5 linked regions of the Kluyveromyces lactis genome follow. The protein of the gene in region 1 interacts with the protein of each later gene in a pairwise test. Links are inferred from orthologs where the notes say so. Each region holds a gene or a part of one and is shown on either strand. Other genes may lie near its edges.

What was found.
Region 2: the proteins of NNF2 (region 1) and GIM3 interact in a two-hybrid assay, tested with the Saccharomyces cerevisiae proteins (2 studies listed by BioGRID). The link is inferred for Kluyveromyces lactis from reciprocal best matches to the Saccharomyces cerevisiae genes NNF2 and GIM3.
Region 3: the proteins of NNF2 (region 1) and ETP1 interact in a two-hybrid assay, tested with the Saccharomyces cerevisiae proteins (2 studies listed by BioGRID). The link is inferred for Kluyveromyces lactis from reciprocal best matches to the Saccharomyces cerevisiae genes NNF2 and ETP1.
Region 4: the proteins of NNF2 (region 1) and NUM1 interact in a two-hybrid assay, tested with the Saccharomyces cerevisiae proteins (2 studies listed by BioGRID). The link is inferred for Kluyveromyces lactis from reciprocal best matches to the Saccharomyces cerevisiae genes NNF2 and NUM1.
Region 5: the proteins of NNF2 (region 1) and SMC1 interact in binary tests that used the Saccharomyces cerevisiae proteins (3 or more experiments, as listed by UniProt). The link is inferred for Kluyveromyces lactis from reciprocal best matches to the Saccharomyces cerevisiae genes NNF2 and SMC1.

Annotation. Positions count from the first base shown.
Region 1 is NC_006040.1:1,239,665-1,246,348, forward strand, and holds NNF2 (Nnf2p), read left to right. Parts: upstream 1-2,818; coding exon 2,819-5,461; downstream 5,462-6,684. Other genes in the region: CTT1 (catalase T), read left to right, coding at 583-2,235.
Region 2 is NC_006040.1:947,191-952,052, forward strand, and holds GIM3 (tubulin-binding prefolding complex subunit GIM3), read left to right. Parts: upstream 1-2,999; coding exon 3,000-3,389; downstream 3,390-4,862. Other genes in the region: KLLA0_D11088g (uncharacterized protein), read left to right, coding at 333-704; ARO9 (aromatic-amino-acid:2-oxoglutarate transaminase), read left to right, coding at 1,058-2,650; KLLA0_D11143g (uncharacterized protein), read right to left, coding at 3,529-3,773, 3,862-3,907; LPD1 (dihydrolipoyl dehydrogenase), read left to right, coding at 4,859-4,862. UniProt on the Saccharomyces cerevisiae protein: Binds specifically to cytosolic chaperonin (c-CPN) and transfers target proteins to it. Binds to nascent polypeptide chain and promotes folding in an environment in which there are many competing pathways for nonnative proteins.
Region 3 is NC_006042.1:2,387,475-2,393,318, forward strand, and holds ETP1 (Etp1p), read right to left. Parts: upstream 3,306-5,844; coding exon 1,752-3,305; downstream 1-1,751. Other genes in the region: KLLA0_F25696g (haloacid dehalogenase superfamily protein), read left to right, coding at 1-80; ribose phosphate diphosphokinase subunit PRS3, read right to left, coding at 347-1,309; TTI1 (Tti1p), read left to right, coding at 3,641-5,844.
Region 4 is NC_006040.1:1,397,114-1,403,956, reverse strand, and holds the start of NUM1 (Num1p), read right to left. Parts: upstream 4,045-6,843; coding exon 1-4,044. Other genes in the region: SLX4 (Slx4p), read right to left, coding at 4,501-6,579. UniProt on the Saccharomyces cerevisiae protein: Controls nuclear migration. NUM1 specifically controls the interaction of the bud neck cytoskeleton with the pre-divisional G2 nucleus. Functions in dynein-anchoring.
Region 5 is NC_006040.1:642,133-648,762, forward strand, and holds SMC1 (cohesin subunit SMC1), read right to left. Parts: upstream 4,351-6,630; coding exon 619-4,350; downstream 1-618. Other genes in the region: oxysterol-binding protein related protein HES1, read left to right, coding at 1-393; KLLA0_D07524g (uncharacterized protein), read right to left, coding at 4,886-5,293; SCF ubiquitin ligase complex subunit CDC4, read right to left, coding at 5,852-6,630. UniProt on the Saccharomyces cerevisiae protein: Involved in chromosome cohesion during cell cycle and in DNA repair. Central component of cohesin complex. The cohesin complex is required for the cohesion of sister chromatids after DNA replication.

The sequences.
Region 1 (6,684 bases):
GATATTTAACGTTGTCTTCTTTAACGGGTTCATAGGAAGTTCCGTAAAGGTTTTGCTTTAATAGCAAAGCAAATAGCAAAACAACCAAGAAAAGTGCACAGAGGTCGCAGCGCTACCCAACAGAGGCCGAGTGTAAGGATTTAGTACGATACACTACGAGAAAATAAGGGTAGTATGTGTTAACGACGCAAACGAACAGAGGAGAGAGGAGACTACTACTTCCTGGATTACTTCCTGATGGAGTTACCGGATTATCGAGAGAAAGAGGGAGAGATAAACACGAGATACCCTCAATGTTGCTTTAAGGGTATTACGGTGGGTACAGAAGACGTAAGTAATGGTTGGATTTGTCGTATGGTTTGGTGTTTCGCAGTAATAGCTGCACGCTTGCAGAGCAGTCACTTATTAATGATTAGCTGAAGGTCTAGCTGCTCTATACAGTGCTGGAAAAGTATATAAACTGGCTCAATGGATTGGAATGATGAGTGAGTGTTACCTAATTCGTTGTCGTTACCGTATCATGTCAATTGTTGATCGCTCACAGAATAGATCAAACATCTAAGTCAAGACAGTCTGCCTACAATGCCTTCTGAATACTCTTCACCTCCAGTTTACTCCACTTCAAATGGGTTTAAATACTCTCATCATCCATACGGTGCACAATACTCGCGTCCAGATGGTCCACTTTTACTACAGGATAACCATTTGATAGAATCTCTAGCTAGATTCGATAGGGAAAGAATTCCCGAAAGAGTTGTCCATGCCAAAGGTGGCGGATGTCATATCGAATTTGAACTCACTGATTCGTTATCTGACATCACATATGCAGCACCATACCAATCTCCCGGTTACAAGTGTCCTGGTATCATAAGATGCAGTACCGTTGGCGGTGAATCAGGGGCTCCAGATACAGCCAGAGATCCAAGAGGTTTCAGTTTCAAGTTTTACACGAAATGGGGGAACCATGACTGGGTGTTCAACAATACACCGGTGTTCTTCATCAGAGATGCAAACAAGTTCCCTCATTTTATTCACACTCAAAAGAGATCCCCAAGGAATCATTTGGGACAGGCTTCTGATACTTCCATGTATTGGGATTATTTGACTCAAAATATCGAGTCCATCCATCAAATCACGTATATGTTCGGTGATAGAGGCACTCCAGCTTCTTGGTCTGACATGAGTGCATATTCCGGTCACACTTATAAGTTTATCAATGCTGAAGGTAAGTTGACTTACGTGCAAATTCATGTGTTACCAGAGAATGGATTCAAGACTCTTTCATTGGAAGAAGCCAATAAGTTAGCTGGTGAAAATCCTGATTATAATAACCAATTGTTGTTCGAAAAGCTAGAAGCCGGTGAACGTCCAAAATTTAATTGCTATGTTCAGACGATGACCCCTGAGCAAGCAGAAAATTTCAGGTATTCCATTAACGATTTGACCAAGATTTGGCCACATAAGGAATTCCCATTGCGCAAGTTCGGTACCATTACCCTAACCCATAACGTCGATAACTATTTCGAAGAAATCGAGCAACTTGCTTTCTCTCCATCAAACACCTGTATTCCAGGTATCGAGCCATCCAACGATTCTGTCTTGCAATCCAGATTATTCTCGTACCCAGACACTCAACGTCACAGACTTGGTACCAACTTTATGCAGTTACCAGTCAATAGACCCGTGAATATGGGTAGAGAAGCTTGTCCATTTGCAGGTGCGAATTTCCAAAGAGATGGGCCAATGTGTATGTTCAACTTCAAGGACCAACCAAACTATATCGCTTCTTCCGGTAAAAACCTTGTTCAGTTCAACACATTGGATGACAACAATGCCAAGTCAACGCACGAAAGATTTACTGGTGTTGTATTAGAAGAGGATGTTGTCGCTGAAATAAAGAGACAAGAAGAAAACCGTGTAGAACATGAACGTGTTGTTAACGGTAAGATCAACGAATATTATATTGTCAATGGTGCATCTCCAGTCGATTTGGAACAACCAAGAGCTCTATACGAAAAGGTGTACAACGACAAGGATAAGAAGACATTCGTCAAAAACGTTGTTGCACATGCTTCTAAGATCTCCAATCCGGAAATTAAGACTCGTGTGTCTCAATACTTCGGTCTTTTGAATGAAGATTTGGGTAAACAGATCGCTGAAGGCCTTGAAATCCAATGGGAGCCAGTTTCTTTCGAAACATATGCCCGGAGAATCAGTATCGCCAGTGCTTTCTAAGACGATATTAGGAAATTGTTCAAAGTGTATGTCAACAACTGTTTCCATAATTTGATGAGATGCTCTGCGAGTTTTCTTAACGATTGAAGACATAATATTTATTAACTCTATTTAGAAAAGGATATATTTCTCATTTATGTAAGGAAAAATTAATGTACATCGTACACTCTTATGATATGAAACGTACTGACTATAATTAATGTCACTTAGCCATCGCTTCAAATGTTTACACAGATGTGTCAGCATCTTTTGTACCTGCGCTTCTGCATAATTTAAGCTTTTTCGTTGGTTCCTTTAATATCGCATCGCATACTAAAGTGAAAAATTGGAAAATGTTGAACTTAGCTTGTTCCAAGCAAATCATTAAGAGGAAAAGACAACTTTGGAAAGGGCAGTACAAACCAATAGTTGCTGCGTGGACCGTTCATTCATTTATAGGGACCAGTTGTTGAATTTAAGAAGCTATTTCTTAAAACTAAGTGTTCTTCCAGGCCACCAAACGGGTATTTTACCACGTTGAATTTTTGTGTTTTTCCTGTTATTGAAGAGAAACAGATTTTGATTCTGGTTCATTTGATCTGCCATGTCCAGCAGTGATCCGAGTCTCTCTTTCATCAGAAGGCATCATTTCAAGGACTCTCTTGCACTTTTAATCGTGTTTTTGAGCTTCAATCATTTTGCATCATTGATCCTATTGGTTTCCTTCAGCATAGTTACCAGATCGAGGAACTTTCTTTCAGAGTGTTTTATCAGATTCTTTCTACCCAAGTCTCATTACAACGGATTTGTCAATGATGATGATTATCAGATCAAACCTATCCAGGCGGTAGCAGTGGCACCCATCAATAATGTATTGTCGGCCAAGACGAGAAAGAAATCGGTGATGGCGAGCAAACAGCAGGCTTCTGCTAGTCCTACCAATTCTACAGTTAACGCAGTCCCCACAAATAACGTGCTGGGAGTTAATGGTGAAACTACGAAGCCAAGATTGAGAAAATCTAAGAAGAAACTGCTATTCTTTTTGATTCAAGAGGCAATTTTGGCATTTATACTGAAGTATTACGGTGATAAATATTTCACTGAACCCATAGAGAATCTTGCTATGTCTATAGTAGCTTCTTCTTTGGTCAATGATCCCAAGGATGCTCTAAGTGTTGCCACAACTAGTTCCATCATATATGCTCTCTCGACGCAATGGATACAGAAGTTGTTATTCCTATTCGACTATGAGAAAGCAGTATTTGCATTCCCATCCAAACCTACCATCTCACGTTGGACATTATTGATAGACAAGTACCCCTCGTTGACTGGGAGGCTACCATCCATCTTTGAATTTCTCACATTTTCGAGCAGATACATCCGATATGCATCGTATTTGGCGTCATTCCATGTGGTGGTTGCTCAAATCGAACAAAATTTAATAGTACAATCTTATGAACGTAAAAATAACGAATCCAACAGTAACGATCAAATAAATCAGGGACCCAGCAACGCATCTCCTACAACACCGCTGTCCTCTTCCACACAGACTAAAGAGGCTCCTATTCCGCAATCATCAAATATGGCACATAGTTCCAGCGCTTCATCCTCTTTTTCCCTTCCAGGTACCAACTTGAACAATACTTCGAATCCTCAGGAACCTGCACCAATTTATTCGTCTTTAGTTAAAGATTCTGTGGTGAATGATATCAGTATTACCTCTCCATCTGCTTCTAATAATCAAACTTGGGTCCCCAATATCACAACCGCATTTTCAACAGAGTCGAACTTAGATCATCAGAATGATCTATCTAACCAAGTGTACAAATTGGAATTGAACCTTGAATCTCAGGAGAATTGTCCCAATCTTTCTACCATTTCAACGGTTAATTTACAAAATTTCGTGAGACAACTTTTCCGTTGGAAGAATCATCACATCATCCCACCAATATGGGCGATTTTCACTGCCACTCAAACGTTAATTTCAGAGAAGCATAACATCCAGGCTTCCAACGATAATGTGACACCATTGACTACGACTGTTGCAGTGGATGATGATAAGATTACTCCTACTGAAAGTGATTCTGTGGCTCAAAGTGTGAAATCAAACTTGTCCCCAGTAAATTCAAACCCAAGCAAAGGTGTGTTCACGAGTAAAGCTATCTCGGACTCGATGACATTGATTGCACCAGCGATGGACGACTATCACAAATTAAACCTTGTTTCCACCGAAACCAGACATGATTATAAAGTTTGTATTACATTCATTGGAGCCAATTCCATTACATTCAAGATAGATTCTCTTTTCGAAGGTGAGTTGATCATTCTCGTTAACGGTGTCATTTGGTCTCAAGTTGGATCTGCAATCGTTCCTAGTATACCGGGACAAGAGTACACCATAGTGAGTGGCCTTGTACCATTATGCTCTTATGACATCCAATTTGTCAACAGGTTGAACGAACTGGAGGACTATTTAATTGCAGACTTAATGGTCAGAACCATTGGTAAAAATGGTGACCAAGAGGCGTTAGACTTAAGTTTCCCTTCATATTACCATAGAAAGTTCCTATCTCCTATCCTAACTTTAAAACATTCCATCTTAACCACCAATGCAAACCTTGCAGATGAAAGGGCCAAAGTGAAGAAGACCAGGAAAGAAGTTACCAAGAAGGTTAATACGATGAAACAGGATATCGAGACATTCAAAACGAAACTCGAATTCAATGTCACCCAGGATGAGAAAAGTGCATCAAAAGTAGAGAATTTGAAGATGGCATTGAAACAAGGTGAATTTCAGACTACGCAATTGGAAGAGAAGTTGAAAGAGTTAACTCAAAAAGAGACAGAACTAGAAGAAGTGTACCTTGTTGAGAAGGATAACCATTTTCAAAGAACTTTAGAATGTAGTAAGACAGAGGATCAATGGAAGTTGAAGTTAAAGGAAGCCGAATCTCAATTGAGCAAATTGAAGCAAGAGTTACAACAATTGCAAGTTAAGAAAAGCAAAAGTGTGAACAAACATGCAAAGTTGCAAAAAGAAGTGAACCAAATCAACGATGATTTCGATAAATATACCTCGACATTCCTAGAGAAAAGGAACAGGGAACGTGTTGAAAGAAATCAGTTAAGATCACAAGAGGCAACTGAATATGAATTGAGAATCAAAGGTCTAGAGCAAGATATCAGCAGACTAGAAGGCGAGGCGAGCCAACTCCATCAAATTCTACAGAACACTGCACCATACTGAGTAGAGAGTCATCCTCTCACCCCATCTCTGTAGTTCATGTAGACGCGTTCATAGGTATATATAAATACGTATTAACGTCAAACAGAAATAATGTATGTATGTCCATTCATGATCGTTAAAGCCAGCTACACAAGTGATCCATTCATGTTTCACGTTTTAAGATCCCCTATGTATCATCTTGATAAGTAAATCCTATCACATTGGTAGTTACTAGATTAATTTTTCTAATTTGTCTCAACAGACCCGGTACTAATGTCTTGAGGTTCTACCTTTCACACATGATTAACATTGAAAACTGTCAATGCCCTTCCAATGATCAGCAGATATTGATAAGTCCCCAATTTCGCCTTTCTTAACGGTTTCTCTAATACACCTGCGTAAATCTCTTAATGTCACTTTTATTTCTTGGATGTCTTGACTTTCTTTACATGATGATGTTTGTTCGGTAACTGAATGTGATCACTTGAGATCCGCCATAACTTATCTTTTATGTAGATAGACGCTAACTTTTCATCATCTAGGGAATTCACGATATGTTTATGGTTTCTAGCAACATAGAGGTTATTCTTATAAAAGGACTGTAATGGAATCATAACCATGTTGACTGACGGAACAAACACCGCTCGCATTTTTATTGTGATTTTGTCATTCATTTTAATGTTTAGGATACCTTCTCCCTCAACAGAAATTTCTTTCATTCCTGCTGCAAGCAATTTAGTTTTGGATTCATCTTTAAAATCATACAGCAAATTTTTGTTAGGAACCAACGCTACTGGTATTCCTGAAGCTAGCATGATGCTTTTGTCTTCCTTGAGATAAAAGCTTTTATGGTCAATGTTGCCTAAGGAGAACTGGATCCTCTCCGGCTGAATTATTATCGTCTGAAGATGTGTTCTTCTTAATGTAATTTGTCTTACCTTTCTTCTCGATTACATCATATTTTTATTGTAGTTCTTACCTGACTTTTTGTGCCTATTAGTACCATTGGAATCCTTGTTCCAATTGGTTCTGGAATTTCTTGGGTTTTCTTCCCTTATCTTCTTCGCTTAGATTCGCACGTTTTGACTTTACAGAGTTTCTAGATTCAAGACTCACCAAACTCAGTGCTGATGGTATGTCTAGTTTATTGTTTTTAGACAGTTCTTGGTTTACCATATATGATCTATCTGCAATAGCTTCCACTGTCATTTCAGTTAAACACTGTAACAGTGAATCTATATCAC
Region 2 (4,862 bases), about 290 kb from region 1:
TCCTATAACAGTCGCCGAACTGAAACGTTAGAAAAGGACACTACGCGTGATTGTTAGGGGAACTTGAATATGAAAACAGATATACACACGGTACTCAGTACTTTTCCACCTGAATAACTGCATGAACGTACAGGTAATAATATAACAGGTATTATTCTGATTTACAAAGTAGGCTGGGCACGAGGGTCCTCCTTTGGTATATAAAGAAGGACGGACCCTCTGTAGTATCTCCTTCCTTCTCTGATGCTACCTTTTGTAATATGCTATTAGTACAGTCGGACAGTGCCCAAGAGATTAAAAAAAACACAAGATACGCCATAAGCTAAATAGATATGGATGCAACAGAGAAAACAGATATGCCGGAATTGACGGCTAGCATAACGGATCTAGAGAAGCAAGAGCTTCAGTATGAGGTCGAACTGGATGAAGCAGACGAAACCAGTGACAATACAAAACTCATCTTTTCCCAAGATAAAAAGAAGAAACAACCACGAAAACGCCCTTGGACTCCAATCACGTGGCACATAACAATGGCATTGTTGGTTATATACATCATTTCCCTTCTAGTGTTCATCAAGTTCGTGTATCCAACGATGTTTTTGGGTCCCGTTAAAGAAACTGTCAGTGCAGGTCACGTGACGCTCTTTGAGAATCTTGGAATGGCAACGCTAGATGATACAAGCATGAGCGGGTCTCTAATATGACGGAGAAACGGTCACATCTTTTGTTTTGAACGGAATTCTGTGTGCTAATTCTGATAGATACCCTTAGAAGCACAAACTACCTTATATCCGCACTTTTTAGCGCGGTGGAAACTTCGCATGTTAGGTTTAAATACTGTTATCGCCTTTCGTTTCAAAATGCTGCCAGCCAGATAGGAAACGAAAAAACAAAAAAAAGGTCGGCCTTTTAACTTTAAGCTTTTTTTGACATGTATAAATATAAAGTATATAACAATGTGTCAAATCTAGGTTTTGTTTGATGAGGTGGTTATTTGTTTGAAGGGATTAACGCTGGTGGTACAAGCACCATATAGCTGCAATATATAGTACGAGTTATGACGGTAACCATTGATGATAAGACGTTAGAAGAGCATTATTCGAAGTTCTTGAATCGTCACGTTGACAGAAGAGTTATTCTGCAATTCTGGGATGATTATTTGCCCAAGGATGTGAAACCGCATCCAAACCCATATGTTTTGGCAGCTGGTATGCCAAACGAGGGTTTGTTCCCTGTGGAATCTGTGCATGTCAATGTGGTTGAACGTCCGTTCCAGCATTTGGAGTACCCATTCAAAAGTGAAAAGATCCATGTCGGTGCTGCTGGTGAAATCGGTGTCAATGAAGCTGAATACGTGAAATCTAGGGTCGATGATGGTAGTATGGTTGATATTTGGAGGTACGATCCATCTCATGGTGATAACATTCCAATTGCCCAGGCACTACAATATTCTGACACGAAAGGGTTCCCGCAATTGATTGATTTCTCAAAGAAGTTGGTTAGTTACTTAAACAAGCCAGCTTACGACAATTGGGATGTTATGTTAGCAAATGGATCTTCTGATTCTTTATCTAAAGTTTTCACCACTTTAACAGATGAAGACGTTACCGTGTTAATGGAAGAATTTACTTTCACTCCGACTATCTCCAACGTCACTGCAAATGGTGGGATTCCGATTCCATTGAAAGTTGATATCACGGATGATGCTTCTCAGCAGGGTATTAACGTCGAGTATATGGACCAATTGCTTGAGAATTGGTCAACAGGTGAATATTCTCACTTATCTAAGCCTAGACTGTTATACACAATCGTCACAGGGCAAAATCCAACCGGTATGACACAATGCAAAGAGAAGAGACAGAAAATATACGATCTATGCGAAAAACATGACATTATAATTGTGGAAGATGATCCGTATGGTTACCTAAAGTTTTTACCCTTTGACAAGTCTGATCCATTAAAGAATCAATATAACGATGGCACTATCACTTTCGATAAATATTGTAAAGAAATATTAGCCCCCTCATATTTGACCATAGACACATCAGGGAGAGTCATTAGATTAGAAACTTTCTCCAAAGTCTTCGCCCCTGGGATGCGTCTTTCCTTCATTGTCGCCAATAAATTTATCCTAGACAAGTTATTGAAATATGCAGACATTTCTGTTAGATCGCCATGTGGTCTTGCCCAAGCTATGACCATTAATATAATAGACAAATGGGCAGAAAATTTCAATGGAGACAAGGTCAGAGCTTGGCTATCATGGGTCATGAAAGTTGCTGGTGAGTATACACATAGAAGAAATGTGCTTTTCCAAGCATTGGAAGCTACACCAGCTTATAAAGAAGAATTATTTGAATTGATTGAACCCTCTGCCGGTATGTTCATTAGTATCAAGATCAATTTTGATAAGTTCGGAGAAATCTCGGATAAATTAAAGGCCATGAATTTCTTAAACTACAAGTTGTTGGAAGAAGGTTGCATTGTAATCTTGGGTTACAGAATGGCAGTTGACAAGAAATTTTCATATGACAGGTCCAACTTTTTAAGAATTACATTTGCTATGGCTCCAGATGAAGAGCATTTACAAACAGCTGCTGAAAGGCTAGGTAAAGGTGTTGAGAGATTCTTCAAAGAGTATCACAACTGAAGGGGTCTGTTTTACAGCTCTTTCTGGTAATTGCTAATTTTCAACCTCACGTTGCACCATAAAAACAAAAGTTAGATACTTATATATGAATGCATAATTACAACGTGAAACAATAAACCTGATAGGGCCGTGAAATATGTCCCAACTGCTTTCTTTTGAGCATGAAATTGTAAAATTGCATGACATAATTTTGCATGTCAGTAGTGTAATTTGCAAGATAAATCTTTAGAGTATGTAAAAGTTGAATAAAAAATAACAAGAATGGCTAAAAGTACAGATGAAAACAGTACATGACATGAGTAGACACAGAGACATCTACCACATCTTACACGCAACACACTAACTAGAAATGGAATTACTACCGGAGGGTCAAAAGAACACGGTCACCGTTGCATACGAAGATCAACAACGTATCAATGAGTTCTCCAAGTTGATCATGAGAAAAGATGCTATCGAACAAGATTTGACGCAACAAAGAACAGAGAAAGAGTACCTCGACGACGTATCGTTGGAAATTGAATTGATAGACGAGGATGAGAAGGTACAATATAAGATCGGAGACGTCTTCGTATTTCTAAAACAGAAAGAAGTAGTTGAAAAGTTAGAATCCGATGCTGAAAACATCGACAGCAATATAGAAAAGCTAGAGAGCGATGAGGCGGAATTGGACTCAAGAATAAAAGAGCTAAAGAGTATATTGTATGCCAAATTCGGTGACAACATCAATTTGGAACGTTGAGCCCATAAATATACATTGCTGAAGTGCTTGATAGAATTGAAAAAATATCCTTAAACCGAGTAATATATGTTTGCGTATAAAATCTACATAGAAAATAATAGTAAAGACCGACACAACGTTGATTCAGTCCATAATGCAATCAAACAGCATGTTCTTTCAGCCCACCTAACGCATGAACCTCCTGGTCTTCTTCTATTTCAAGCCCCCAATTAAAATGTTGGTTCATTTCCTTGAATTTAGCGACAAACTCTTCTGGCAAATCCAAACTAAACCCATTGAATAATGTATATTCATGCGTTATAGTCCCATCAAGTTCATGTGCCACATTCACTAAATCATTGTAGTATTGGAAGCTGTCAGGATATATAACCATAAGTGAAGATACTGTATTTGACGATGACGATGATGATGTTAGTAAAGTTGAGAATTAAAGGGAAAAAAAAGGGTTAAGAAAATCCGTCCTTAAACATACACGAACTGGCCAACGCCGTTCCAATAAAAATAGGTGCAAATCTCATATCTGCGGCTAATGCTTTGTTATTACTGTTGCTACTCTATTCTTTGTTCTTGCTAACAATCTCCCTTATCCTTCATATATCATGATTCATTATTCTTTTATATGGATATCATATCTCATAGTGAGTATTTGGCAGAAGGAAAAACTGGTAATCAAAAAAAAACAACGTGATCATAAATTAATAAACGTTACCCGGTTTGAATCACGTGTTAATCACGTTCTTGATAGCCCGCCCTGCGCCTTTCGTGTCGGCCCCCGTACGGCTTCCGTTTTTTTAGGTTCGTTTCGTTATTTTTCAACTGATTTCATTCAATAGTTTCAATTTTTGTCGATTCCGAAGGTTTCCCTGTTCCCCACGTCAAGACAGTTGCAACTTTTTTGTGATGAGCCGTCGCCTTTATAGATCACACCAGCGAAACAGCTTTTCACAAAGATACTTCTGTTCACTGTGTTATCCCATTTCGATAATTAATAGTAATGACTCTGGCAGTTTGGAAAGCTCAATAGATTGATAAAAAAAAAACTGGTTCTTCAACTTAAAAGTTGCGCAAAGGAACGATGAAATATAGATCAGTTAAATAAGTGGTCTTCTCTGGAATACTACAGTATTTTTTCGAATTACAATCCGTTCAATTATATAATTGTAGTTTATATATGGTCCGTACCGTAGTGAATCACCAAACCCTACCGCATCATGCTGGTATTTGAGTCCTGTAGATCAATTTTCTTGCTATTTAATTGATCAAACCGTCTAATAGTTGTATTTATTTGGGATCGTAATCTTTTTTTTCCATTCCAATTGACATTAATATAAAAGGAATTCACTAGGATATTTTATATTTCAAGAAATATATCAAGTGAAACCACAGAGAAAGGGTTCAGATAACGTATAAGTAAGAGGTTAGAGGATTATCTTATTTATCTTGTTTATTTATATCCGCCCTAATCAAAGATGT
Region 3 (5,844 bases), on another chromosome or scaffold:
AAGACCACAAAATATTAGGCGATAGAGGTGAAATGCTAGAATCTTTAGAACACTTTGACCGTTCCAAGTTTGGATTATAGTTAAGTAAAAGAGAGTACATATGTCTTAACTGGATTTCAGACAAAGGCATAGTTAATACTCGAAGTACTTTTTTGAATAGAGAGATTAAATAATGTCTTCTTATAAGTTACTACGAACTTAGTTGACTTACCGTCATGGGATATATGTTACATCGACGCCTTGTTATTGCTTATAGTGGAGGAATGAAAAGAGTAAACGTTCAGTGAACGTGAGTCAATCGGCAAACAGGACAGCCAGTTGGATGAGTTAATTTAACAGTGAATCATCAGAGAGGGTAGTTCTTGAACAAATATGAAATACTTTCACCGTTGTGCAAACGACGAATAGCTTCTGCAAGCACTGAAGAGATATCAATTGCATCCAATTTTGGACAACGTAGCATCTTTTCTTCGAAAGGAACAGTATTTGTGCAAACTACTCTATCAAGTTTTGAGTGGTTAATGTTTTCAATAGCTTTGCCAGATAGAATGCCGTGGGTAACGATAGCAATGACGGACTTGGCTTTGTTTTCCAACAGAACTTCTGCAGCCTTAGCCAAAGTACCACATGTATCAGCCATATCATCAACAATGATACAAATCTTGTCTGAGACGTCACCAACAAGGACCATTCTTGAAACTTCATTAGCGCGAGCTCTTTCCTTATGAATCAAGGCAAAGTTCAAATCCAAACGGTCGGCCAAACCAGCGGCACGTTTGGCACCACCAGCATCCGGGGAGATAATGATAGCTTCTTTGAAGTTAACATTTTCCTTAATATATCTTACAACTGAAGGCTCAGCATATAAGTTATCTACTGGAACATCAAAGAACCCTTGTATTTGAGAAGCGTGCAAGTCCATGGTGATGACATGGTCACAACCAGCAGTGGTCAGCATGTCAGCCATCAACTTAGCAGTAATTGGAGCACGAGACTTATCCTTTCTATCCTGTCTAGCGTATGGGAAATTTGGAATAATAGCTGTAATTCTTCTAGCAGACGCGGTCTTTGATGCATTAATCATTATTAATAGCTCAAGGACACGATCATTCACATCACCAGATCCGATCTGTGTAACAATGAAGATATCTTGGTCTCTAACAGATTCACCAATGGAAAAAGATACTTCGCCGCTGGGATCCCTCTTCAACTTACAATTTGTAAGCTTCAAACCTAACCTCTTAGCAACTAACTCGGCTAGGTTACGATGCACATCGGGAGCCAAAAGCTTGATAGAATTGGTTGCCATTTTCTTATCAGTATTGAAAAGTGTTTAAATGATGTGTTTGTTATAACAGTTTGCTTATTTTTCTTCACAAAACTGAAGTACGAGGGGGTATGTGAATCGAATCAGGAGCACAAACGAAGCAGATTACCTAGTTCAAGCCAAAACCAAACCTGCCTATTTCCTCCCAACTTCAAACATCTTCATCTTAAGTCTTTTCATCAAAAAACCTTTCTTTGGCATCCGGAACTTCTTTTAGATGAGGAAAAAATTTTCCTTTCTTTTTCATGATTGGAAGAGAAAGACTCTTTGGTTGGCTAAGGAAGACTCAGTTTCATTGTGGAAATATTGCCGGTATAAATGGCGTAGGAAGTCGAGATTTTGACATGCAAGAATCAATTATTGAACTTTAAATATTCTATCTAGAAAGCTGCACATACAAGGCCTAATTGTAGTAATTTGCTTATCATATTTTGGGTATTTTCGGAATCTTCTTCTTCTTTTTCTTCTTGTTCTTAGCACTGGAAGATGCTTCGGAACCTGGAGGAGGTTGAAGCACTAACGTTGCATTTTGAAGCTCTGAATCCTCTGCAAACTTTTCCTGGGATTCAAAATGGAACATCAAGTCTTGAATTTGTGACTGCAATTCTTGATTTTCATCCTGTAGTTTCTGTTTCTCTAGGCTAAATTTTTCCATCTGTTTAGTTAAATGATCTAAGTTTTGTTGAAGTCCGGAGTTGAGCAGCATTTCTTCCTTAAGCCGATTTTTCATTTCTTGCATACTTTCTTCAACGAGTTTCTTTAACTGTTTGTGATCATCTTTTTGTCTACTGACTTGCATATCAGACTCGAGCGATTTCACTCTTTCATGCATATTGTAAATTTGTCCCTCGTAATACTCACGCTGAGATTCTAACTGAGACAAAAGTACTTGAACGTATTCCAAATGATACTCTTTATTCCTTTTCGTATTACTCCCGTCATGAGATTCACCCACCTCCACCAACTTTCCGTCGATCTCATTTTGAACAATCCGATGGACGTAATTATCCCCCGCATAATCCCATACCCGTTTTGTTGTCAAATCCATTGCAAAACAATGGTTCGATTGTTCGTAATGGCATATTGCATGTTGAGAATTATAACGACCACATCCAAGATGTCCACAAATTAGACAGATCCAAAGATTGTTCGTTTCACCGCATTCTAGACAACGCGGCAGTGGTTCATTATTAACATCTTTTAACTGTGAGTATCTGCAGACAGGGCAATTACCGTTTTTCCATTGATCTAGGCACTTACAATGGAACGTATGTTGACAAGGGGTTGTGACTAATCCAGTAACTTCGCTGTCTAATTTTTCTAGGCAAACAGGACACATAGGTAGTTCTATTAAACCATCAGATTGTTCTGAACTACTCTGAGTAAACGGATATTTTAACATGTAGGGGAGAGCATCTTTATCTTCACTAAACATTCCTTGATGAAATATAAGCTCCTTAATTGCTACCACATGACATGTTTCTGGATCAATTTCATTGAACTTCTTCCCATCGAAGAGCTTCTGAAACTCTTTCGCCAAGCTTTGTTCCTTAAATTTCATCAAAAGCATAAACCGTCCTTTTTCCTTGTTCATTTTTATTAATTGTAAATGCGTCACTTGATTGGTTGTTTCTTCTCCAATAAACCATCCCAATAGTCTGTTTATGGTCAAGTAGTTTGGAATAAATAGTATGGCTAGCATCCTTCCATCACCTAATTCCCGGTAGAGTTCTTTATCATCAAAGGTACCAACTGATGCGTGGCCATTCTTGAAAAGCCGTATAATACCATGGCCACACCATTCGGATTCGATGGAAACTTTGTTACTACAAGAATGTAAACTTAGCATTGGAATATGGTTCCAACTCTGTTCAATACGAGAATCAGTCTTCCGCTCAAAAGTCAATTTGCCAGACTTAAAAAACTTATAACAATCGTCTAGACTTTCTGTTACCTCGATAAGTAATGTATATTCCATATGGATTATTCTTAGACCCGACAGGTAACTAGTAGGCAAAATGTAAAGTTTTCTGGTTGTACGAAGGTTCGCCTCTTGGCGTCATATTAGCTGTTGCCAGTAGTCATCTCATCCCTAGGAATATCAACAATCGGGATGAGAACCTGCCAAAGGAAGAATGGAAAAAAAAACGATCACGTGATTTTAATGATATACTTAAGCCTTCTCAATGAAATGCATCTTTTACGCGATGATCTGCCTTATTCTCGAAATATATGTTAAACATAACGAGTTACCGTCACAGCTTTTTGACATAGCATAAAAATATATCATCAGAAGCCGCTTGAGATACTACTATGTTTACACAAGGTCAGCATGTTCGGTCAGAACATGCAGGAACTAAAGATGAAGCCTTTGGAAAGATAAAACCAATCTGTGTGAGACTCTCCCAAGTTACCTTCAGGAAAGATGAGCTACTCATATTACAGGATCCGCAGTTAAAACAGTTACTACAAGATTTGATTCAAAACTTAGATATCCTTATAACTAAGCACAAATCGCTTTCAGGGAGGTTTGGAGACTATGTGTTTGTGCCTATCTCTGCAATGTTGAAAACGTGTAAATCACTTCCGGACCCAATTGCAACATTAGTATTCGAAATTTTGGCGAGAATAATAGACGTTTCGTGGAGTTTACCGGCGACAGTGGATCGGAACACATTCTCGCAGCTTCTTTCCCTATCAACCTTTCTAATATCTACCGATCTAGAAAATGTCAACCTTCCCAATAAACCAGACGAATTCAAGATTGCTTCCATCAGACTTTTAAGAGTTTTGTATTCCACAGCAGCTTTCAAGGAATGGGATGCAAATATGCTCCCAGCAATTGCACACTCAATCACCATTTTGTTAACATTATTAGAAAATAGCAATATGTCAATCCAGTTAGAGAGCTCAAAAACACTAAGATTACTGTACAGAGTAATAAATGACGGAGAAATGTTAAGTAATGTGGTTCCCGGAAATGTCTCTACATTTGCTAAGATTCTCTCTCGTCCAGGGTTGACTACTCATGTGAAAGTGGCAAGTGATGTATTATCGACTATGTCAGAACTATTGTGTATGGTATATGGTGACTCTTCTTTGGAAACTTTCATCAAAACGTCTACAGGAAATACTGCTGTTGAAGTAAAAAATCCAGGAAAGCACAGAACTACCAAATGGTTAAATGCCACATCAATTCAATTGAAACGCGCACTTGAACCCACCTTTTCAAAGCTCACTAAAAGGAATAATGAAAAACTGAATGGTGAACTATTTGAAGCTTGTGTTCTACTACTTAATAAATGCCATAATTCACTTTATGGGTGCAGAGAAGTTATACTAAAGACGGCTCTTACAGTAGCAAGGGATAACGTCTTTGCATTAGAAAGATTCAAGAACGATATTGCAGCATTCATGAGAGATAACAATATTCAGGTCGAAACAAACTTCGAAGAAATCAACCAATATAATATTGTGAATAATGCATTAAGAATTTTGGATACAGATCAGCTTGAGGAATATCAAATATCAAAAACTGTTGCTTATGGAATATATGACTCTTTGAAAACCCATTTGTTGAGTTTAGACAAAACAGAGAACATTAATTTAATTAAGGTTACCAGTTCAGAGGTAAACTACTTGGTAACATCGGGATCTCTTAATAATTCTGAAGTTTCCATAATTCCGAAAATATCATCTACAGCGTACGAAAATGTTACAAATATTTTACTGCAACTAGGATCCAAGATGAGCGCCTCTTCAATACAAGAACAAATCATTGAGTTTCTTTCAATAGAATCAGATGTCTTAAAAAACTCAAACGAAGCTCTTTGGATAGCTTCAACTTTATTAACAGGGTATAAAAACACTGACATAAGTGATTTTCTTGCGCATGATTCAGACCCAATCTCCTGCCAATATGACATTATAGAAATGGCAAATGAGCGGGTATCAATTTTATCGAATCAAACGGAACTAAACGAGTTGCAGCGCACCAATTTGACTATGAATTTGTTTGCTATGAAACAAATGATTATTCTAATGGGTAAAGATTTCAAAGATGAAATGTTAGATTACATCTATAATGTCATTGAATGTTTCGCAAGCGATGATGAGAACACAAGATTCATTTCGGGAAATATTCTTCAATATTTGGCCAATGAATTCTACCAGGGTGCAATGCTAAATTTGTTTCAAGATAATGTTAATTACATAATTGACGGAATCTCAGTTAGACTTGACAATTGTCTATTCCATCGTGCATATATGGTTCTTCGTGTAGTGATAAAGGTTTCTGGATACGATCTTGTGGAACGTTTGAATGATATCCTAGAGAAGCTATTTTGGATGTTAGGATATTATCATGGATACGATGACCTCTGCACTGTACTATTGAACTTATTCATAGAGATTTCATACAAGATACAATACACTTTCTTGAGCAAATCGAGCGGACAATCTATCGAGATCAAAACCTGGAACCAGGATTCCTTCAAGCCATGGGGTATGTCTAATAT
Region 4 (6,843 bases), about 160 kb from region 1:
ATTGAGACTTTTGTAGGTCTCAGCATCAAGTACCACATGACCTTTTTCTGTTATTTGCTTTTGTAGGATGTGCAGGGAAGGATTGGACAAAGAATCATAATCAGCTTCCGGAACAACTACAAGTCCGAGACTTCTCGCACTTCTCTGTAAACCCTGCTCGTCAGTAACTGCTGACATTTGTAACTTATTATGTTCTTCAATCGGTAGTAAAACTTGTTTGTGTTGCTGCGCTTTTTCTTGCAAGAATTCTAAAGATGGACTAGTCAAGTTAAGTTGAAGTTCATTGAACTTTTTCGTGGGAACTACGCTATACCCATTGATGTCGCAAACCTCCTTTGATCTTTTGATTGAAGGGTTATTGATTGCGAGCTGTAGCTCTTCGTACTCGACAGTTGGTAGAACCTTGCATTCAATTCTAGCAGCCAGTTGTTCCACTTCTTTCACCGTAGGTTCGTTTGTTTTTCTTTGCAAATTGTCATATTTCTGTTGATCGATCAAACGTTTGCCAATATTGCTTGCCCTATTTGATAAGTGTGCAATAGAAGGATTTTCATATGAGGTCTTGAGCTCTTCAATAGATTCAATTGGTAACAGGGCGAGTCCAAGAGTTCCAGCCATGTTTTCTAAATATTCTCTAGATGGGTGCTCTAATTTCGATTTCAAGCCCTCCAGTTCATCGAATGGTAACATAGTTTGATGATGAAGTTTAGCCTTCTCCTTCAAAAACGTCAATGAGGGAGAGTCTTTCATAGCCATTAGATTTTCATATTCGTTCAGCTGTACGGGAACCATTTTATAGGTTGAGAGGTGTCTGGATAAATCTTTTAGTTGTGGATTGTTTGATTTGTTTATCAAATCTTCGTAAGACTTACTATCTAAGACCACATGACCATGTTCCTTGACTTTCTTAATCAATTCATCCTCTGAAAGTAGTGCAACTTTCGAGCTTTCCTGTAATTTCTGGTATGCTTCAGCAGCAACAGGCTTTAGATTGTATTTGTCACAGAGTTTAAAAGTTTCATCTTTAGTTACTTTATCTATAACGGGAGCCATTAATTTTGAGTATCCTTCTTTTGAAACTGCAACGTAACCCAATGTTTCCAATCTGTTAGTTAATTGGTCGATGTCAACATTGTCGATTGACTTTTGTTTAAAGGAATTGAAATCTGGCGCAGTGACTGGAACAAATCCAAAATTCTTAATAGATTCGAGTAACATTGTTTTATCACTGCCCTTATGAACTAACTTTTCATACTCTTTCTGTTCGATAGTAACCATACCGATATCCTTTGCCTTTTCAATGATGAAGTTTCTTGATGGTTCATTTACGGTCTTATTCAAATAATCGTAGTCACTCTGCGATACAATCAAGTGGCCAGTTACAGCTGCCAAGTGCTGCATTTCTTGGATGGTCGGGTCTGATGACTTTCTCAAAAGCTCTGAGTGGTCAGTCTTTAGGATTATATCATAGTTTTTCTCTGCTGCCTTTTCCGATAAAAAGTTCAAAGTTGGAGATTCTAGCTGTTCCTTCAACTTATGAAGGTCCTCCTGTTTGATAATAGTATAATTGAGAGCTAGTAGTTTATCTTTCAGGTGTTCAAAGGGAGGATTTTGAGCTAAGTTTCTTAGGTTCTCTATTTCAGCTTGACTGAGCAAGGTGTAATCTAAAGCTTTGGCAGCTTTCTTTAGATGATCCAGTGGAGGAGTATTAGCTAGTTCTGTTAATTTGTGATACTCAGTGGTGCGTATAGGTGTTATGGACTTTCTTTCCGCCAACCACAGCAATAAAGACTCCATATCGTCACTAGAAAGCGATGATTGAATAGCTTCAATTGAAGGATGAGTGTTTCCATGCATTAGTCTGGTGTGCTCCTCATTTGGAAGAAGAACATGATCTTTTGACTTAGCACATTCTTTCAACCTATTAATATCTGGACTTTCAGCTTTGCATTTCAGATCAATTAGATCCTTATCAGGTATTACCGAGAGTTTGTGATTTGCAGCAATTTTTTCCACTTTATCGATAGAAGGATTCAGTAGCTCATGGTAATCTTTGTTAGATATTAAAATATGGTCGTGAGTGGTAGCTAACTGTTGGACGTCTTCGATACTTGGTTCAGTGAGTTGGGACAATTTACTCTTCGTTAGTACAGTTAATCCTTTTGCATCTGCTTTGGCCTGCAAATATTCTTCAGACGGGCTTTCCAATTTAGCTTTTATATCAGTCAATTGTGACTGTTTCAATACCTGAAGTCCTCTGGACTGGGCATGGTTTGTTAATGCCTCAACATCCGGTTTCCTCAAATTTTCATACTCATCAATGTCGATAATGGTTTTTTGAAGCTTGTGAGCCTTACTCTCGAGATATGACAGGGACGGACTTTCGGAAGCATGAAGCAAATTCTCATAGTCCTTTTTACTTAACGCAGTGTAGTCTTTACTTTCTAATGATTTTTTCAAAGTTTCCATCGATGGATCATTCAATGATTGGTACTCTTCTTCTTTGATAGCAGTGAGGTTGAGCCTCTTCAGATTCGAAACTAGATAATCCTCAGTGGGATGCTTAAAAATCTCTTCTATATCCACTTTCTCATTATTTGTTAAACTAGAAGTATCAAAATACCCTAGCGTAGAAAGTCTGGAAAGAATATGCTTTGATAATGTGTCATCTGAGATTGTGCTAGGAGTTTTCGATTTTTTTAATTCATCTAGTTCAGTAATTGGGACAAGTGCGAAATTGTGCGTTTTTGCGTATCTTTCTATATCTTCATAGTCAAGTTCATTAATAAAGTCTTCATCATGTTCAAAGGGGCCCTCCGAAATGGGGTCTCTCACATAGTCCATAGTTTCCGAAACAAAACTTTCAGCGTCAATATCACTGATATCAGCATTACTTGACTTGCCAGGCGATGGTATTACATTCCAGTCACCTGATTCATTATCTGTAACTTCGTAATTGAAGCTGGAAGTATTGGACTTTTGAGGAGTAGAAGCAGATCCTATAAAAGATAAACCGCCTTTATTCTTACCTCTGGGAGACTTTGAAGGTAATGGAGAGTTCATGGTGCTGTCAGCCTTGACTCTGTTGAGCTTCTGCTTTAATCTTACAATTAACTGATTAGCATGATTTAAGTTGGCTTTTAAGGTCTGATTTTCTAGATTTGAATCAATCGGTTTCTTCAAGGAACTATCATCGGAACCCTCCATACCTCCTCCGATCAGTTTTACGGCAGGTGATGGTTTTTGTTCTGATGTAGCAATCGCAGTATCGTCTTTGCCCTGTGCAGAGGTGCCTTTCCTCTCTTCTATTTCTTTTGTTAATGAAGTGACCTTCTCACTCAACATGTTAACTTTATTATGCAGCTGATCATTCTCATTGTTCAACTCTTCCACATGTCTTTTCAGCTCCTTAATTTCATTCGAATGAACTTTTTTACTAGAAGCCAATTCGGACTTTAATCCCATACGTTCCAAAGAACTTTCCTCCAGTTCAGTTTTCATATCCTTAGAAAGCTCAATCTGCCTTTCAAGTTCACTTTTATTTTTATTGAAGTTTTCAGTCAACTCTTGGAACTCCTTAGATAAACTTTGCAATTTCATTTCTTGTCGCCAATTAGTGTCCTTTAAAGAATCCTCATTTTTGGTCATAGATTCATGCTTCACTGTTAACCGCTCAAGATTTATTTTCAACTTTTCATAGTCGGCCTGCAAAGAGGATAATTTGGCGGACTTACGTTCGTTCTGTGCTTGTAAGCGTCTGCATTCGACGAGTAAGTTCTCGCTTAAACCAACAACAAAGTTCACATCCTCGCCTGAATTGGCATTTATGACACCTGCATGAGCAGAGCTTCCTGCAAAAACAGGTAACGAAGCCCTATTATCTCTCTTACTCAAGACATTGGAAAATGGTAAACTGGGGTCCTCAGAATTAACATGAGAAAGAGCTTCTTGATGTTTTTGTTGTTCCTGCAACCTGTTCAATTTAAACTTCAATTCATCTCGGCTGGACCGTTTATCAGACTGCGAAGATCCCTTTCCTGACATATTTCCTGGGATTTTACTGTCGCTTCTGGGGCGCACTTCTCCAAATTGCCCGAAATCACTCAATTGTTGCCGTTCTGAATAAAAACCGAAGGACAGTGCTAAAGTTTAAGGACTTCAGTGCTATATGCTTCAAAGATTACTGAGCGTAGATTCCAATTTCCTTTTCGATTATGTTTTGTTTGTTTTGTTTATAGAATCGTTCGATCTGAAAGAAACTGACAATTTTTGATGAGCTGTTTTGACTGCATAACGTTACCCGGATTTCTCAATAAACAATGCAGCTATTGACTCGCCTTGTCTTGCTTTGATAGAGCCTTGCTCACATTCGGTATATGTTTTGAATAGGCAGTCAGACCAATGTATTCATTGAGAGTCTATTATGTTCCTTTGACGCCATGTATTTGGGCTTCTATTGAAAAAAAAATGCTGATAATTATACACATGGATGCTAACATACTATGGAGACAATGATGGCGACTGCAGTTGGGATAATGATTGTGAGAGCAACCGTGATTGAGATTGAGATTGGCTTTGTGACAACAAGGGGTTCTCAGTATCATTTCTGAATACAATCCCGTTTAAATCTGCCCAATTTTTGATAAAACTATCGTCGATTAGTTCAGTGAATGAGTTCAAGGATACTAGCCATTCTTTCAACTGTTCGTAACGAATAGGCTCAAAAGTGTATATTTGTTCCATTAATAATGCAGATTCATCACGATTTTGTACTATAAGGTCCGTGAGGAATTGCTTGAGTTGAATTGATCTATCCTCATCTGAGGACCCCGGGAATTTGGATTCCAATGTCTCCCATACTTGCAACATCTGAACTTTGTTCTTACAAGGTTTTAATCCGATCACCTTGAAAGACCTTCGTAGCTTCGCGGTGTTCGGAGATGCATTTTGTGTTGTGAGTAGGGCAGGCTGAAGTTGTGAATCTAGAGAATCTGTGGCTGAAACTGGGGTTTTCAATTTTTGAGATTGAGATTTCCGTAGAGAGGGGAACTGGCCAAGATGAGTTTGAGGAGCATCATGAACCTCCATAATGGAATAGCTACCTCTTTCATCTTCGCTATCTATAACAATTTCGTTATTATCATCATGCAACATAGAAGTAGTTAAAGTAGACAAACTTTCTTGCTCTTGCGTATCTACCTCCCCCTTAACACTGGCGAAAACGTCATTAGAGTCCCTATTGCTATCAACATATATCTTGACGACATTAGCAGGTTTTGAAGCTTGTTGCTGATTCTGTTGTTGTTGGTCTTGAAAGGTAGTAGTTCTCGTTGCGGGCACCTGAATAGTCCCGGTTCTTTGGGCCTTCATTGGAGATACGATGGAGGACACTACATCGTAAGACGTTTGTGATATGTTTATCAGTTGATCGTTTATGTTTGCCCTGGAATATTCCCTTTTCGTTTTCTCACCAGTGGGTAAAGTCTTGGAATCTGGTGGTAAATAGCATGGTATATCGTAATCGACGTCTGCCTTGTTCTTGTCTTGAATCATGAAACTCAGCTCTTCAAAGCTAATGATAGACCCGCTATCGCATGAATCGGCTATCTGAGACGGTACATCCGTCTCAGATGAAGGCACGTCTATGCTAATTGGTAGTTCCTGTTCGATGACAGAGCTTGGGTTCGAGATCGGTTTGAACCTCAATCCATCTTCCGTTGAGCACCGGTTATTACTGCTTTCTCCTTCGACAAGTTGAGACAACGTATACACAGGCGCATTGTTATCCAACGTTAAACTTGGAAGAATAGTCTCAGACTCTCCATCTGAGCACTGAGAAGATATCTGCTTTTCTGGGGATAACTGAGACGCTTTCCAAAGATTGTGCTGTTCATCAGCACCGTATACGTATTGCTGTACCGAGTTTAGCTCGCTTCTAGAAACTTTTGGTAATTTTTCTCGTAGGAGGCCAACGATATGTTGCCATTCTGATTCATTAAAGGGCGCAAATTGTGTCGGATGAGAATCCTGTAAACTTTCCGCATCTGCAGATGCCTCCGAGTCCAATTTCGACACCAATTTTTTAACCTTGGCAGATTTACCCGAAAGAATCGAAATCATCTTCTGAGCCCTATCCTTCACTCTATTTGATTCCCAATTATCTGTATTGAACTGGGTAATACTCTTGATTCTTTTCTGCAATCGTGCTGTCGGCTGCTTGACCTTTGAGGATTTTATCACTTTCTTGACTGGCACTTTTTTGGAAGACACCAGTGGAATATCCGCTTGATCTTGTGTTTCCAGCGCAAATCTTGACAGAACATTGCGGAAGGTGTGCACCACAGTCTCCTGGTGGTTCAGTTCATCTATGGCACCTTGGACTTGAGTAGAGATCAGAATATCATCATCACCTTCCTCCGGTGGAATCTCAGTCTCCTGCTCCTCATCTTGATCCTCATCATCGCTGAACATAGTAGGAACCTGAGTCATGCAAATATCACCCTGTTCCACTGAATCTTCAGACAAATGATCGTTCACCATCAGCAAATGCCTACCAGCTTTTTCCAACTCATCATGCATCAGGAAAGAGAGGTTTGCTATTGAATTCTCTGTCTATATCTTACAAGTATACCAGTCACCTGGTATATCAGCAGTCCTTTCCAATTGACGCACCGCAAGGCCACTCATAAACATACGTTGGTACAGTAACACACTAACACGTACTATATATATAGAGAGAGAGAGAAATAGAGAGAAATAGAGTTTGGGATACATAATGATAAATGCCAGCATGATTCCAAATCAAGAATAGTAAATACAATTATAGAGATGAACCTCAAATTG
Region 5 (6,630 bases), about 600 kb from region 1:
TCGAAGCTTTCAGTGGAAACATTGACCGTAAAGAGTATAGAGGAACAACATCCGCTGGAATCTAGAAAGGCCTGGCAACTTGTAGCTGCTGCAACGAAATCTGGTAATTTTGATCTGATTCATCAAGAAAAAACTAAGCTCGAAGAAAAGCAAAGAGAACTTAGAAGGGAGGAAGAAGCTAAGGGAATTGATTGGCAAAGAAGATGGTTCAAGGATTACGATTATTCCGAAAAAGATCCTGACACCTTTACCAAATTAGCCATCTTGGCAAATATATCAGTGAAGAACTTACCTAGTGGAACACTGGTTTCGGAAGAAAAGAAGGATGCAAATATGTTGCATTGGAGATTCGATCACGAAAGCTGGGATAAGGAAACAGAAATTAAACTTTGAGAATAATTCACGATGATGATAAAGTGTGTATTTCATTGGTTGTAAATCTCTTTTGATTCATTATCAACTTCAGTTGGATTATACTACATAACTACGTAAGCGCTAAATGTTAAATAAATTATTAGTCTTTTAACATATGCAAAGAAGAGATCCTTGTTTAAAGTAGTACCATCTATTATGTATGTACTTATGATTTAGGTGTATTAAATTGCAAATAATGTTACATCAATCTTCATCATAATTCTCGAGATTCAAACTAACCATTCTAGAAGAGTTATCTTCTTGTTCCCGGAATATACCAACTAGTGATTGGGATTTTTCAAACATAGCATTCTTCAACGATATAACGATGAACTGGGCATTTGGATTAGCATTCCGCTTAATATAATGTGCTATTCTTTCAACATTAGTGATGTCTAAAGCGGCATCTACTTCGTCCAATACAAAGAAAGGACTGGGTTGATATGAATTGATGGTGAACAACAAAGCTAAGGCGGCCATGGTTTTTTCACCACCAGAAAGATATTCCATATCCTTAAACCTTTTCAACGGTGGGGTCGCAAAGTATTTAATTCCGCCTAAATATGGTTCGTCCTCATTTTCAACTGTTAAAGAAGCATTACCACCGGCTAGTTCGGACTTATCATGTGGATTCTTGGTCAAAGCCCTGTAGATCTGATCAATGTGTTTATCAACATGTTTGAAACACGCTTCAAATAACTCTTTACGTTTAGCTTTGACTTCAAGAAATTTCTCTTTCGCTTTTCTTTCTTTATTCCTCAGTCTCTCATTCTCATTCGATACTTGATCTAATTTGTGTTTTGTCTCATCGTATCTTTGAACAGCTTTAGAATTAGGTTGTAGAATTTCTAATTTTTCTTCCACCTTTTTAATCTCCGATTCAAACTCTTCTTTCACTTCTTCGCCATCATTTAGCCTGTACTTCTCCGGTAAAGAAGTAAAATCATACTCGAGATCAGAGATTATACCTGTATTGTTAGAATCCAAAACATCAATGGAAATATCTTCTAACGACGAATCCAGTAGCGGTAGCTCTATGTTAGAGACTTTACAATTCTTCAGTATACCTAATTGTTCAAGGTCGAGTGTTTCAATATCTTCTTTGATTTCATCCACTTTTCGTCTTGCGGCTTGCATGCTCGATTGAATTTCTGCAATATTACTATCAAATGAAATTAGATTGTGCACTTTTTCATCTAGCTCCTTTTGTTGAATGGCTACCAGTTGTTGTTCTTGTGAAATTTTTGAGTCTGCATTCTTGATCTTTTCCGTTATTATGTCCTCTTGTTTCTCTAATGAACCCAGAGCCTCTTTCAATTTATCCATGTCAGATAAGGCTTTTGTATGACGTGCCGCAGTAGCTCCCAAACGGTCCTTTTCGAATTCCAATTTGTTCTCAATGGTGAGAATCTGTTTCTGGAACTGTTGAAGCTCCTTGGAGTGCTTTCTCATAATTTCGCCAGTACCTTGTTCATAGTCTTTAATTGAGAAGCCATATTTATCGGTGAAAGGTCTAAAAATCTGTTCTTGTAAAACATCTTTCTCACTTTCCAACTTAGTTAATTTGCTCTTCAATTCTTCGATACGTTGAGTGAAGGATTTAAGCTGAGGTTCGTATTCTGTAGTAATCAAATCCTCGTTATGCTTGATTTCGACATTTTTTCCACTTAAAGTTCTTTCAAGTTGGGTGATCTGAGTTCTCAAACTCGAAATCTCATTATTTAACAAAGATATTTCATTCTCCAGCTCTCTGGATTTCATGTTATCAGCTCTGAATTTGTCTGATAGCGCTGTCAATTCTTCGGTAATTTGATCTTTCAATACCATCAGTCCTTGGTATTCATCTTTATTCCATCTATTCTGGTTTTTCTGTGCCGTACCACCAGTCATTTGTCCAGCTTTATGTATTAAAGCACCATTCAATGTCACTAGTTTGGCCTTGACATTTCTTGACCACTTTAATTCTTTAGCTAGGTCTAGGTTATCACAAATAATAGAATCTGAGCACACATATTGCATTGCCTTCTCAAGGTAGCCTTCGTATTCGATAGCATTAATAGTCAAAAGGCAGCCTTGTACGTTCGACACCGGCAATGATGGTGGATTGACGTCGATTGTATCAAGAGGTATGAAAGACGCTGAACCGGCTCTTTGCTTTTTAAGGTACGTGATACATTCGTGTGCGGTAGCAATACTGTCGACTATAATGGAATCAAAGTTTTTACCAAGTATCGTTGATACTGCAATCGCATACTTCTCTTTTTTCGGATGACATAGATCGTGTACTAATCCTTTCACACCGGGATATAATCTCTTAAGCATAGAAACATTCTCTCTTAGTTTTCTTTCCTTCTTGGTCTCTCTTTGATCAGCGTTAAGATCGTCAATTTTCAGAAGTACGTCTCTCAAGCTAAAATTCAGTTCATATTCCTTATTCTTTAGGGACTCAAGATTAGTTTGAATACCTTTCCATTCTTTAGACTTAGCAGCTGCTATCGAGTTTTTATCATTCAACCTTTGTGTTACCTCGTTGAGATCTGCTTCTAAAGCATCGACATCGACCTGTAATTCGTCACTTATGCGTTCCCTGGTTGTTTTCAGTCTTTTGTTAATAAGTTCACTCTCTTCGTTTAGTTCAAACTCGTCGTTTTTTAAGATAGCCAACTTTTCCTCGATATGAGAGCCTCCAGAACTTAAATACTTCTCTTTCAATAGCTCATATTGTTTTAAATCTTCTTCAGATAAATTGAATTTATTGAGATTGGCATGAATATTTTCTAACTCTTTCTCAAACGACTTTTTTGTTTTAGAAACTACCTTCAGTTGATTTTCGAATTGTTTGACATAAGCTTGTTGCCTTTCCATATCTTTCTTGAATGAGGATATTCTTTTTTCCAAGTTATGTATTCTCTTGATGGTAGCTAACCTCTCGCTTCCAACAGGTAGTAAAGATGACTGTAACGATGTTTTTTCATTTTCTAACTGTACGAGCGTATCTTTCAACTTACTCAATTGCAGTTCATGTTTAGCCGTTGTGGATTTGATTTTGGTCAGTATTCTTTCTTCGTCTGAAAGCTTGTTCTTCAACGCAGTCGTTTCAGTTTTTGAAACTGTTAGAGAATCTACCAGTTTCTTCCTTCTTTTAAGGATATGGAATAGTTCCCATAAAATAAAGTTATGTTTCAACTGATCTCTAATTTCTAAACTCGTTCTATATTGCTCATCCCGTTGGACACCTTCTTTAAAACTTTTCAAATCGTTTTGCACTTTTTTCCTTGAATTATGAGCGTCTGTGAATTCAGCTAAAGCCAGCTTATGCTCTTCTTTCAATTTCTCATAATCATTCTTATAGTTTATAGATCCAGAAACCTGCTCCAATAATAGCGTCAATGATTCTGGTCCCTGAGAAGCGATTCTTTCGACATCACCTTGGAAAACCAAAAAGTTTTTCGCCTTGACCAAGATGTTTTCGGATTCTAATTCCTCGTTATATTTTTTATAGCTCACAGCTCTATCGTTGATTTTGTAAACGCTATCACCAGATGTATTGATGGTTCTTGTGAATTTTGTTGGTTCATCAAGATCATCTTTTTGATACACGCAACTGACATATGCACTTCTTGGTTCTTCCTCCGAATATGTGGCATTCTCTGGACCAGCTTCCGAATCAGCGTCGGATCGGTGCATTCTCTTAGCATTGCCGTTATCTGGATCGCCATTTTCAATTCTGCCCCTGTATATCAAATCTACAAGCGCCGATGACCTTAACTGATTACTTCTCACACCTAACACAAAGGAAATGGCATCCATCAGATTCGATTTACCAGAACCATTGGGCCCAATGATGCTGGTGAAGTAAGACTCACCAAAACCAACTTGCACCGTATCCTTATACGACTTGAAATTATGCAGCTCTAACCCGATAAGTCTACCCATCTTGGAACACGAATATCTCTACAAATCAGCGAAATAAAACAAAAAATGATCACAAGTTTATTAGGATAACTTGTACTGCAACTTCAATTATAAGCGGCTTGTTGCAGCTGATGTAGATGGTAAGCTGACCGAATAAGCTACCCATCCTTCAACTAACACGAAAAATCTTAATGTAAATAGATATAAACGCCTTTCTTATTTTCATTTTCTAAATATTGCATTGACGCGTTCGAACATATCCGGGTAACTTGGTGTTTCATTATGTAACTTAATTGGGAAGTTTCCGTTATAATCCGTCCATCCATAAAGAGGACGGAGGTGCTAGTTGCACCAAGGATGTACAGAAGACAAGATCGGTATGAAGCTGACACCCTGATATACAGTTCACACGTTCTGTGGTTTTTGAAATTCAATTCGTATTATATCGGTTTTTTTTTCTGGGGTTTTGCTTTAATTAACTGCATATGATGATATACTTATATGTATATTTATATGAGGATGTCTGAGATGGATGGAAAAGTCAGTATTTGGTTCTTTACACGCCTGTTTTCATCTGAACAGGCTCCAGTTGTGGGATGCTAGCGTAGGCATTGGACGTGTCTCTGTTGTTCATCAATCTGAAGAAGTACAGGTTGAATTTGTTAATATAGAAGATGGAGACCACGCTTAACAATATGTAAGTCATTTTCAAAATGGCTTTTGGTACATAACCCCAGTTTATGGTACGATACTGGATCACGATGTTGACTCCTAGTAGGAAAATGACACCGCAGCTCAACACAAGTACAAAAGCACTTACAATCAGACCTACTGATAGTTCTTGTGTTCTTAAGGCTTCCACGGTTAAATTTTCTTCAGACTGAGACCCAACTTGTTTGTTCCTCTGGCTAATTCTCGATGAGGATGATGACGCCGATGATGATCCTTCTTGCTGCAATGACATTTCAGTGTGTTGGAGGGGTATTTTGGGAGTGCTTAAGTGGGTAAAGATTCAGTCCAATCCAAGACGCTATGCTTGAGTAGGCACTGGAATGTTGCAAGAATAGGTGGACAAAATCGAAAGAGGTACTTATATTGTGTAAATTTGACATTTTTTTCAATGTGCAACTTACTTTTTTCCTCATCGCAAAACACACCCGATTAATTCCTTGGCATAATTTTCCACACCTAGGGATGACCCTATCTTGATAAGAAGACATAGATAGGTAAATGTTGAGAACTGTATATGTCTGGTATAGTAGTCGACTGTATCCACCAGTACTGGGGTGGCTGAAAAGTTTGTAACACGTAGAAATAGTATTGAAACTCCTATATATGTCTTAGGGATAGGTGATGCCGTAGATAAATTAATCATACAACTTTTTTATGTCTGCTGGCATTGAAGAGAAGAGAAGAGAACAAAGATACAGAGGATTGGTATTACAGAGTTTATTTGATGGTAGAATATTTCCATACGGCGAGATACCAGATGTGGTAATGCAAGTTAAATTGATAGTTAATGTTAAAGAGTGGAAGACCAAAGTGACGTTCGATATATTTGATGGTCGACTCTTGTTCTAGTCCGGGTTCTGATAGTCTTGTCACCATTCCGAGCAGCAAAATCCAAGATTTCTACGTAACTGTGTCCCACTGACTCGATCGCAGCGACTAATTTTCTGTTATTTAATTTGATACCCCACACTTGTTCCGAATCTGTGAGTAGCTTCCTGTGTATCAGCTTACCGGTCCTTAAATTATATACATTGAATTGTCGTTCCGATCCACTAACCAAAATGTTATCGTTCATGGAGAATGAAGTGATAGCAGCCAGGTTTGTATGATGGAACGAAAACTTTCTTGAATAATCATTTGGATCCCAGCCGCGTATCGAACCGTCTGCAGCAGCGCTAACCAAAAATTTATTGGATAGGCAAAGTAGACCAACTAAAGCTGTATGTCCATAAAGGCATTTCATGCTTCCAACCACTTTGATCGATGCACCGTCATTGATTGTAGTAGTTGTCCCATTATTTTCAATGTTTTCGAGATCCCAGATCATCACTGTGGTATCCATACTTGCTGATATGCACCTGTTCCTCTTGTAGTCATAAATGGTCGAGTACACACGGTCGGTGTGACCGGTTAGAATATATAGTAATTTCATACTAATGATATCCCATACCATCAAATTGTGGTCATATGAACCACTTATGACAATTCTACCATGACCAGACACTGTCCTTACCGAAGACATGTGGCCTCTTAATACCCCAACAAAATATGGGTTTTCCTCTGGTGTCC